Caenorhabditis elegans: one gene and its partner. The protein of the gene in region 2 interacts with the protein of the main gene of each other region in a pairwise test. Each region holds a gene or a part of one and is shown on either strand. Other genes may lie near its edges.

What was found.
Region 1: the proteins of alh-9 (region 2) and sek-1 interact in a two-hybrid assay, tested with the Caenorhabditis elegans proteins (one large-scale study listed by BioGRID).

Annotation. Positions count from the first base shown.
Region 1 is NC_003284.9:7,814,823-7,821,833, reverse strand, and holds sek-1 (Dual specificity mitogen-activated protein kinase kinase sek-1), read right to left. Parts: upstream 5,101-7,011; 5' UTR 5,031-5,100; coding exon 5,018-5,030; intron 4,959-5,017; coding exon 4,868-4,958; intron 4,761-4,867; coding exon 4,628-4,760; intron 3,509-4,627; coding exon 3,125-3,508; intron 2,974-3,124; coding exon 2,723-2,973; intron 2,661-2,722; coding exon 2,549-2,660; intron 1,798-2,548; coding exon 1,771-1,797; 3' UTR 798-1,770; downstream 1-797. UniProt on the Caenorhabditis elegans protein: Dual specificity protein kinase which acts as an essential component of the p38 signal transduction pathway which is also composed of upstream effector nsy-1 and downstream effector pmk-1. May phosphorylate pmk-1.
Region 2 is NC_003281.10:5,855,653-5,859,939, forward strand, and holds alh-9 (Putative aldehyde dehydrogenase family 7 member A1 homolog), read left to right. Parts: upstream 1-1,556; coding exon 1,557-1,763; intron 1,764-1,812; coding exon 1,813-2,270; intron 2,271-2,318; coding exon 2,319-3,044; intron 3,045-3,092; coding exon 3,093-3,297; 3' UTR 3,298-3,527; downstream 3,528-4,287. Other genes in the region: cct-6 (T-complex protein 1 subunit zeta), read right to left, coding at 1-30; dpf-4 (Peptidase S9 prolyl oligopeptidase catalytic domain-containing protein), read left to right, coding at 3,980-4,287.

The DNA of each region.
Region 1 (7,011 bases), on a different chromosome or scaffold from region 2:
AATTGTTATTATTGAAATTCAAAAAGTTTCAACATGTTTCAAAAAGTTACATCATATATATAAAAACGTATTGTGGCTGCTCATACTCAACCACCGGGAATCTTGTGGCTCGACATCTGTGACCACACTCGTAATTTTATATTTGATAGCTCTGGCAAACCCGGCGTCAACAATCCAGAAAGTTAGTAGCATTTCACTTCTAATGAAAAAATTTTTCTAACAAAGTTTCACGAAAACACTCCAAGGTTTATGTTCAACAAAAATGTATGCTTGATGATTGGGAAAGCTTTGGCAACTTTGCTGTCGGTTGTGTCGGTTGCAATTCTGAAACAAGCATCAGTTGTTTTTAAGAATTTTGCAACTTTAGCAAACTCCGGTGAAAACGATAGAAATAATAGTAAAATAGAAGTCCGTACATGATGTGCCTTAATGAAACAAAACATTTATATTTCTTGGTCTTTTTTGTTTATATTATTTTCCAGATATTTTCAATTTATCAATTATGGCAATTCAAACAAGGAAAATGATATTCACTCGTTCTCTATTTATATATTGGAAAATTTAAAAAACGTTTTTATAAATATCTTGAAAAGCAACCAAAACCAACTATCCCAATCAAGTCGTAGTGTGATTTACTATTGAAAAATTTGAACTAAACTTGCTTTTTCACATTCTTATATTTTTCCTTCCTCTGGTTGCCACATTATTTTATCACTGGCGTCAGTTTTTACATAGCTCTGAAACAGGAAGACATTGCAACATCAATTCACGATATTTAACCGTTATCTGAATTAAAAAAAAATCTTTACTCGAGCAATATAAACCAAAAGAGACTCATATCCTTGATATGGGGTGAGGGAGAAAAGTGGGGGATGGTTGGTGTAATTGAAAACAAAACGTTTAGAAATTTGTAATGTCTGAGTTAGGGGAGAAAACGAACAGAAAAGAAAATGAAACGTGTACGCTGATTTTCTGGGCAAGAACTGTTATAAGGAGAATAAGCGCATAAGACCAGAGAAGAAGAAAAATAGAAAGAAGGATAAGTGATGTTGATTGTTTTCGTTTTTGTAACAGCACATCAATTTATAAATATCATTATTAACCCACAGATGAAACAAATGCGGGAGGAGGGGTGCAATAGAATACATTTTTGATTTCTAGAGTAGAATAATCCATGTTGAATACGAATTTGACATCGAAAATGGCACTGTATATGCAGAGGAAGAAGTTAAACAATTGAAATGAGAAGTCTGATGAGATGAGATAGGAATGACTACTAAAATCATTTAAGAAAACAACTAGGTCATTTCGAGTTTGATTGGAAAATTATGAGCTACCATTTGAAAATAAAAATCACAGATGCTAATAAACTACTTGAACATTTAAACGTAAAAAAAATGTAGAAAAACACCGATGATTGATTATAACTACGAGGAGAAGACACGAAAAAAGAAGCGATAGAGAAAGATTTCCTATAAAATTGAAAATGAAATAAGGATAAGCGGTTGACTCGGAAAGAAACGGTTACCAGAAGCAAAGAAATAATTGGAATCTGAGAGATATATGATATAAACAAAACATAAGAACATAAAATTCAATATTTGACAAAAAGGGAAAAGAAGTGATAATTTATTCCGTCCACGTTGCTGATTATTCAACAAATATCGATGTTCCATTGACGGCCAGCGAGGCGTACAAAAAAACGCTATTCTCAATTTGAGACGTGTCGTACTAGAAAAAGACTTGTTCGCCATTCGGCACACCCGATGCTCATCGTCGCCAAACAGTGTCGAGAATCTGCAATGAATGAATTCAGAAGTTTTTGCAATTTTTCGCAAATCTAGCATAGTTTTTACCTAACTAGGGAACCGTCAGAAGGTGCCCATCGGACCTTAGTAAGATTCAAGATTGTCAGATATAAAACGATTTTCAGATTAAAATACAAAAAATTATAAAAAATAACATTCAGTGGTGCTTTTACTGTAAGTTGGTCCTGCTGGAAACAAACTGTACATGCTAAGTTTTGGTGATGTTTTGAAGTTGATCTATACTTTTCTTTGCTGATGTACCGAACTGATTTTTTGACAACATTTTTTACTCTTCGAAATTTCTCAGAAATAACCTGACTTTTTGATTGTTTTTTTATTGCACTTATTTTGCATTTTTGTTATTTCTTAAAGCAATTTAAGCACACTTCACAAAATTGACATCATTCACCAATTTTCAATTTATTTTAAAGTGTTTAGTTTCTACAATAAAGTGTTTTGTAACAAAATACCGATTTTCACTAAAAGCTATCGTCCAAAAATTTTAACGCTAAACTTGAATTTTTAGACATAGAAAATAAAACTCTTTTGTATTTTAAGGCTTAGGAGGACAATTATACTTAGACAACAATTTTTAAGCCTAAAAATTAAAAATCAATTTCACGTTTCATTTAAATGGAGAAATTAATAAACATTTAATTTAATTTTACCCATTTATTTACAGATTGTTTTTCTCAATTTTTCAGCAAAAAAATTGTCTTTTTGATAGCAGCAAATCTTACCTCATTGATAAACCGAGCCATACTAAATTGCTTCTCATTTCTTGCCTGCTCCATAAACGGCATCGCCAATAATTCCGGATATTTGGGACGTTCATTGTAATCCTTTTCAAGACTGCAATTTGCAAATTTTCATACTCTTCCCAACTCCACACCCAGAAACTCCAAAAAACTCACCATCTCTTGACAAAGTACTGACAATCAACACTAAAACCACTTTCCATCGGCAATTTTGGTGGCGGCTCTTTCACAACCTGTTTCAATTGTTCAAATGGGGTTTTCCAATTTGCGTAGGGATGGGTGCCAACGGCGATTTCAATTATTGTTATACCCAAACTCCATACATCAGCTCTCACATCATAGGCTGACTTAGTCTCTCCATCAATTCTCTCTGGTGGCATGTAAGGTTTGCATCCGGCTTGTACAGTCTGTAAATCGAAACACTATATATATTTTGAAATTTTTCTTCCCGGTCATGATGAAATTGAAAGATAACTCTGATTGGCATGACATCATTCGGCAAATAAAATTGCATTTCATTTTTTTAATAGAGGTCTCATTTTTATCGATTTTCCGTACCTTGGCCATGCTGTTTGTCAAGTGACCTGAAATTCCAAAATCGCAAATCTTGACTTGTCCATGTCGATTTAACAGAATGTTCGACGGTTTCACGTCTCGATGAATCAAATTCAGTTGCTCTTTCATAAAGTTGAGTCCTTCAATGACCGACAGAGCCATTTTCCCAATAAACGGCTCTGGAATGTGTTTGCCAATTTTGTATGCGTGCCGGTAAAATTTGTCCAGCGACGTGTCCATCACTTCCATGCAAATCCAGACATCACCTTCGCGAAACATTGCTCCATAGAACCGTACCATTTGCGGACAGCAATCACTTCTCCTGCACGCGTCTAGCTCGTTGAGCATCTGCTTTTGAGATTGATCGTTGATTGATGATTTGATTCGCTGTAAGAAAATGAAATTTGCTTAGGATCAATTTAAAAGATAAATTCGATTTAGTTTGAAAATTCATTTTTTATTTTTTTCAATACGCGATTTGCTTAAGTCTCGGTTCAAACCAGTAATATTTAATTTATAATTTTTTTTTAGTATTTAAATCTGTAGTTTCGATTAATTTTTATATTGAGAATTTAAATATTCGTGATTTGAAAACATTTTTTGGTCAGATCAGTTTTCCATTTACATGTTGTATTTACTTTAATCTTGAACTTTGCCACAACTACATATGAAGTATTTGCAATATGTTCTAGTGAAAGTTCAACATATGAAATCTATGAAGTGACCTTTTTTATGGAAAATTTCCGCGTCACAGACTGTTCTTATTGTTGGTATGTCCTATTAACATACATATTGATGTACAATCACCTAGTCACTTATTCTAGTGTATGGATGAAAATGAATTTTTGAAATCAGTAAGTATTGATAAATCTCAATACATTCCATAAATGTTTGATATCAAGCTACTTTGAATCTATTTCTCATGTTCCTTTTCAAAAAAAAAAAGATTTTTTTCATCATATCAGAAACGAGTGACCTGCGTTTGAAATCCTATCCTCAAATTCTCATTTCTTCACTTCCATAATTTACCTTTGTTCACGAAAATTTTAATTTATACACCAACTTTTCAAAGGTGACGTGTGGGCGCGTGTGCCGACAGCCAAAAGGCAATCAGTGTGTCGTCTCACACGGCGCCCTTCAAAAAATGGAAATGCTTTCCGTTGGCAATGAAGACTAACTATTATTTTTGCAGTCACACCTAAATTCAATAATCTTCATCTTGCTAACTTGCATTTGCTTTTGAATAACTATTGTATGTGAAAAATGACACGTTGCATTCAAATTAGAATAGTTTTTCCCTAATTAAAGAAAAGTATTTTATGAATATCTTAAATTTATACAAATTGCCTATTTATTAGTGCACCAGCCAAATAGGAATTTGAATTTAGTTACTTTTTGAAAAGTTACGAAAAAATGAAACATTTTTTTGAAAAAACCGCTTTTGGTGAATTACCAAACATATGTACATAGTTAATTTTTTCAAACTGTTCTTGTTGTGATACTCACTTTTACCGCCATAATTATCCCGCTCTGCCTGTGCTGCATTTTCTCCACAATCCCATATCCACCTTTTCCAAGTTCTTCGAGTACGACGAGGTCGGTGGCGGCAATCTCAATCTCTTCGGACTCGTTTGTCAATCTGCATCAATCAAAAATTTCTCATACTTATATTATTATTACATAATTCGCCGCGCCGTCTTTACGTGTTCAATATCAAACCCGACACGGGTATCACCTAATACTTACTTGATAAGACATCTGTCTTCCAGATTCATTGTGGGCGTCTCGACCGGTGTTGGCATCACGATCTTCATGCCCGGCAGCTTGCGCTCACGTCCTACAACAAGTCGAAATTAGATGCTTTGGCAAATTTGAGGTAAATGAGATTTTTCTTACCTTTTCGCTCCATGATGTAAGACTCTAGAGAGACGTTCCGCACCGATCTACATAAATTGTAGAATTCGCCGACCAGCGATCGTCTGCAAAAATTAAATGAGGATAAGGAAAGAGCAAGAGACACGGATTTCAGCAAAAAATACGGTGGGTAAATTTTTCACAAAGCGAAAAATGAGGAAAAATGACAATAAAGAATACAAATGGTGGTTTCGCGGTTTTGTGAACAAAATTTAGAGGTGTCATTCAATCTTTTTTCGAATCTAAATGTAAAATAGATAGTGTTGGTCTTTCGTTACTTATCCATCAATCTGGTCCTTTAATTAAAGATTTGGGAATCACGTTTTTTCCTTCTTTTTTTCTCCTGGCGGAGGGTTCTCAGATTTGATGAATGAGAGTACGAAATTCTGTAGAAAAACGCGGAATAGATCGTTGAAAAATAGAAGAAATAAGAAAAATAGGAATAGGAAAAAAGTGAGGAAAAGATAGAAGAATGAGAAGAGAGCAGAAGCAATTTGGTGAGTAGGAAGCAGAAAAATAGAAAAAGGGAAAAAAGAGGGGCCCCCATTTTCATCCCAGTGAGAAAAAATTAATGTGAAAACAAAGCGAAAAACCGTTGCCCGGGATGTGTTGTCGTAAAAATTCAAATTGAAATCAAGGTGCCAGACCAAAACGAGAACCGAAATCCGTTTTTGTTGGTGTTGTCACTGGGAACCAATAGTAACCTTGGAGCGGGTGCATGAATTTTTATGGGATGTGATGTGAACAAGTGCAACATGGAAGCTGGGGAGGAGGAGCAAGATGGAGCTGCCATGAATAGCTGAGTCATTTATAAAGCAGGGAGAAAACGAAGTGTGAATCATTTAATTGGAGATACTGAATTTGGAAATATCACAAAGAAAAACTCATGGTTCCGCGGGATCTTCTTACTAGTTGCATGACTAACGCAGAAATAAATAATTTCCGTGGGTGGGCGGCAAGTAACTCATATAACATGGGGTTTTTTTTTTCAATTTTCGGAATATTAAATTTTTTAAACTTCAATTTACTATTTTTAGTATACTTTTGCAGTTTTTATCGTTTTATCCTTCATTTCCCCCAAAAAGGGCCCATAAAAACTCGAAAAAAACTGAGCGCTTGATTTATTGTTATTGAGAACTAGAGCAGTGAGTGAGTTAACGGAAGGGAAATACGACGAAAAAAGTATTGGGAGTCAGAACTTATAGTTTTTGTCAAATGTTTTAAGAGAAAAGTGGAAATGAAATTAAGCAGAACATAGATTTAAAAATAGTGAAAAAGTGCAAACGTTTTTTTCGGAAAAAGTGTCGAGAAACCGTTTTTGTGACCAAACACATTTTTGTCATGAAAAGTTGCGAAATTCGCAAGACCACACATTTCAGGAAATCCCGTATGTGTAATGGTCAGATTTTACAAAAATTGCCTGATAGTATAATATTGCGAAACTTTTTTTGTTGAATCATTTAGACGGTGTGGGTTCGCAAATATTTTTGTAAGTATTTCGGGACGCATGTACATTTTTAGTTATTCTTTTAAGTTATAGTGTTCAGTTACAAAAACCTTATAGAACTATACAATTTACTCAATTTTTTGGAAGAAAACCAATTAATTGATAAGATTGCTAAGCCACGAATATGCTTCAGACCCGTTTGCTCTCAACAAGATAATTCGTTGAAATCACCTTTCAAAATGTTGTTGTCTGTTCACAAAAAAATGTTGATCATCGGGGGGGGGGGGGGGGGGGGGGCACTGTGCACGTAAACAAGTGATAAGAAACGACGACAAAAGTTACGCAGGACACCACTATTCCTCCATCTCTCTATCACTTTGCCTCTCTGCATCTCTCTCTCTCTATCTTTCAATGCCGTTTTCTGTTAAATGTTACTTTCTACACTCGCCACTCTCTCTTTCTCTCTTTCTCTCTCTATCTATTTCATCTCATACACACAGACACAATCTTCCATTTGTGGAAAGGTATT
Region 2 (4,287 bases):
TTTCGGGTTCAGGCACTGGATTGACGACATACTACCTGAAAACAAGAATTCAACTATGAAATATCTCAGTAAAACCAACAAAAACTAAAAAACGGAGAAATGAGATTGGAAAACGATTCAAGAGGAAAATAGACACGCATAAAAAGGTTCGAGAGCATATTACAATTCAAAAAGGTTCTAAAATGTATTATTACATAACTTTTTAAATAAAAAATAAAGACTTTCAACAGAAATCCTTGAAAAACAATGATTCTCGTTTGAATTTATTCTAGAAAATAAATTCGCTTCTAAAGGCGCACACAATTTCGCAACTGGGTCTCACCACGCAGAGACATTCTACGCTTTTCGGGGAGGATTTACGCGGTGTTTCAAAATTAGGTTTTTCATTATTTACATTGTTCCGCAGTAAAAATGCCCCAATACACCCTTTTCGGGAATAAGACGATGCAAACGATGCGCGGCCGCTGCCAATGCAGCATCAGTTGCTGCAAAAGCAGCTAAGAAGGTAAGCGTTTTTATTTGAAAAAAATTACCGGGAATTCAAATTCTTTGCAAGTTTTTCCAAATTGGGATTTATTTGAAATTGCTCAAAAATGTAATGCATTTTGCTTAATACACTCTACAGTGAAAATAACATTTTAAAACATTTACAATTAAGTTGACACAATAATTCCATGTTGTTAGCTTTCCCGTAGTTAAAAATTGTGCGAGAGATTGAAATTTGTGCGAATATTCGCCTTTTCAACGAAACATATACAAACTAAGTGGATCTGTGTTTTTATTTGAATTTCTGGGAATTAATTTTATCCTGAAGTTATGTATAAGCCGAATAGCTCTTTTTGTGTCGAGCAAGCGACTGCAATTTTCCACAATTTCCATTTCACAAATTTTAGTGGTCACTGCATTGTGTTCTTCTTTATCATGGTTGTCTTCATATCATCATTGATTCGGAAACTAAATATATATCAACCGGCTGCACGCCTTCTTTGCCGCGAATACGCAGAATACTACTATTCCGCAGATCACGACTGAGAAAATGATATTTATGACAAGGGAATGAGTTAATATTAATAATCAAAGAATTATTATAATTATCACGAAGTGGTTTCATATTTTTAATAGTCACGTGACTCGTCATTTCTTCGTTTTTACCTCGGACTGGCATGCCGCATTTTTTTTTTCATGAGCTATGAGCGCATTTTTTGAAAAATGTTTCTGCAATCAGATATATAAAACGTTGCCTGCCATAAAAACACAACTTGTAACCGCTGTAAATCATTAGCCTTGTATCATGTTCCACGTCATAAAATTTACAGCATTCTATAGTCTTATAGATATTGATCTGCAATCTGTCCTTGAATTCCTTGATTAACAATCAATTTCATCTCAGTTTTCGTCGTCATAAACAATCTGCCCGTGTCTCGCTCCGCCCATACATTTCATTCAATCTCCTTCGAACATTTTTCAATTCATTCTTGTTTTTTGACCACTAACCTCTTCGTTTTCTAATACCTTCTGTTTCAAAGCGTCTAACAATAATATATTTTTGTTTCCAGATGAACCGATTGTTGAGCAGTGGAATGTCTGCAGCTACCTTGCAGACCAGAATGGCGTCGCAATTGCTGATCAACGATTCAAAGTACGGATTCCTGAAAGAGCTTGGTCTCACGGAGAACAACGCCGGAGTCTTTCATGGAAAATGGGCGGCGAGTGGACAAGTTGTTCAGTCATTTGCTCCAGCAAATAACTCCCCTATTGCTAATGTAAGTTTCAAAAACATACCCTAAACGTTTTAAAACTTTCAAATTCCAGGTACAAAATGGAAACGTACAAGACTATGAAATCGCCATCTCTGAAGCTAAAAAGGCTTATAACGATTGGTGCGAGGTACCAGCACCACGACGTGGAGAAATCGTCCGTCAAATCGGAGACAAGCTCCGTACGCAGTTGCAAAACCTGGGAAAGCTCGTGTCCCTCGAGATGGGAAAAATTTCTGCCGAAGGAGTTGGAGAAGTTCAAGAATACGTCGATATTTGCGACTACGCTACTGGACTCTCTAGATCACTTGAAGGAAAAATCTTTCCTTCTGAGCGTCCAGGACACGCTCTTCTCGAACAATGGAATCCACTTGGAGTTGTTGGTGTGATTTCGGCTTTCAATTTCCCATGTGCAGTGTATGGATGGAATAACGCTTTAGCTCTTGTCACAGGAAATTCTGTTGTCTGGAAGCCAGCTCCATCCACACCATTGACAGCTATTGCTGTGACCAAGTAAGCTCGCTTATTTCATAATTGTAATCACTAAATAACTATTTTCAGACTTGTCGAGGAGGTTCTTGTTGCCAATAATGTAAATCCAGCTCTCTGTTCCCTTGTCTGTGGAGAGGGTGATGTCGGTCAAGCTCTTGTGAAGGATAAGAGAGTCAATCTAGTTTCATTCACCGGTTCATCAGAAATTGGAAAGATCGTTGGACAACAAGTTCAGGCTCGTTTCGGAAAGCTTCTACTCGAGCTCGGTGGAAACAATGCTATCATTGTTAACGAGGATGCTGATTTGAACATGGTTGTACCGGCAACAGTTTTCGCCGCCGTTGGAACTGCTGGACAGAGATGTACAACCACGAGAAGACTCATTGTTCACGATAAGGTTTACGATCAAGTTCTCGAGAGATTGAAGAAAGCTTATGCTCAATTTGAATCAAGAATCGGATGTCCATTGGATTCCAACACAATTATTGGCCCACTTCACAACCAACAGGCCGTTGGAAAGTACAAGGCTTCAGTTGCCGAAGCAGTTGCTTCTGGAGGAAAGATTGAGTACGGTGGAAAAGTTCTTGAGAGGGATGGAAACTTTGTTCTCCCAACAATTGTCACTGGATTGAAGCACGATTCTCCAGTTGTTCTTCGCGAGACTTTTGCCCCAATTCTCTATGTTCTGAAGTTCTCAACCCTCGAGGAAGCTATTGCAATCAATAATGAAGTTGATCAAGGATTGAGTTCTTCTCTATTTACAACAAATATTCAAAATGTTTTCAAATGGATGGGGTGAGATTTTCTGAAATTGTGAATTTAAAACTAACATTTAATTTTCAGACCAAAAGGAAGTGACTGTGGAATCGTCAATGTCAACATTCCCACATCTGGCGCAGAGATCGGAGGAGCCTTCGGCGGAGAAAAGGAGACCGGTGGAGGTCGCGAATCAGGATCCGACTCCTGGAGGCAGTACATGAGACGATCCACCTGCACGATCAATTACAGCAAGGAACTTCCTTTGGCTCAGGGAATTAAATTCGAATAGCTTAGTTTAGATTTTCTGTAAATATTCATTTCTCATTCAATTTGAGATGTTTTTTTTTCATGCATAATTATTCTCAGTTCCGTTCTAAAATTGCGTGTAATTCAACTCTTGTCCTCTCCTTTTGTGATTTGAATTTTTGTGCCATATCATTCCAAATGCTTAGTTTTTTTTTTAATGTTTGTTCAATAAACTTCCTTTTTTATTCATTCCACAAAATAAAGTGCAACATATTTTCAGCATATATGTCATAAAATTGACGAGACTGGTGAAAAACCGTACGCATACTTGAAAACCGATAAGCTGATTGGTTTCATCACTTTAAGTCATTTCCTAAAACTATAAATTCAATTTCACGCAGATTCTTCTCCGAATCTTCCGCTTGTTTTCTGCCCCAACGCAAGTTTTACTTTTTTTAAATACAATTATTATAATGATGGCATTTTTGTATGTTTAGGTGATGCCTGTTTTATAAATTAAGAGTTTTTTCTAAAAATGTTTTTAAACAACTTTAAACTAATCCACTTAGAAAGTCTGTCAAATTGAATTTTATTGATTGTTTTGGAAACAAACAAACCTCACAATTACAAAAACGCTTTCATTGTAAATATTGACGAATTTATCTCGAATATATTTATTTTTCTCTTAAAATAACTATTTTTACAGCATAAAAAGTGCCCGAAAAATGGCAACTGAAGCTGTCTACGGAAGTTGGGATAGTCCGATCACACCAGATCTCTTCGGAAAATGTAATTGCAAGTCTATCTGCGAGATGCAAGTTGTCGGTGGCAATGTCTACTGGATTGAACAGAATTCAGTAACTGGAAAACGAGAGCTTTACTCAAAACCAACGAATGGAGATACTCGTACACGCTGGGCTGATGGTCAATCTGTTCAAACTGCAATTCACGAGTACGGAGGAGGTGCTCTACATGTTCTTGCTGATGGATCAGTGCTGTTTGCTACGATCGAAGGAGTTTTCTATCAAAAGTC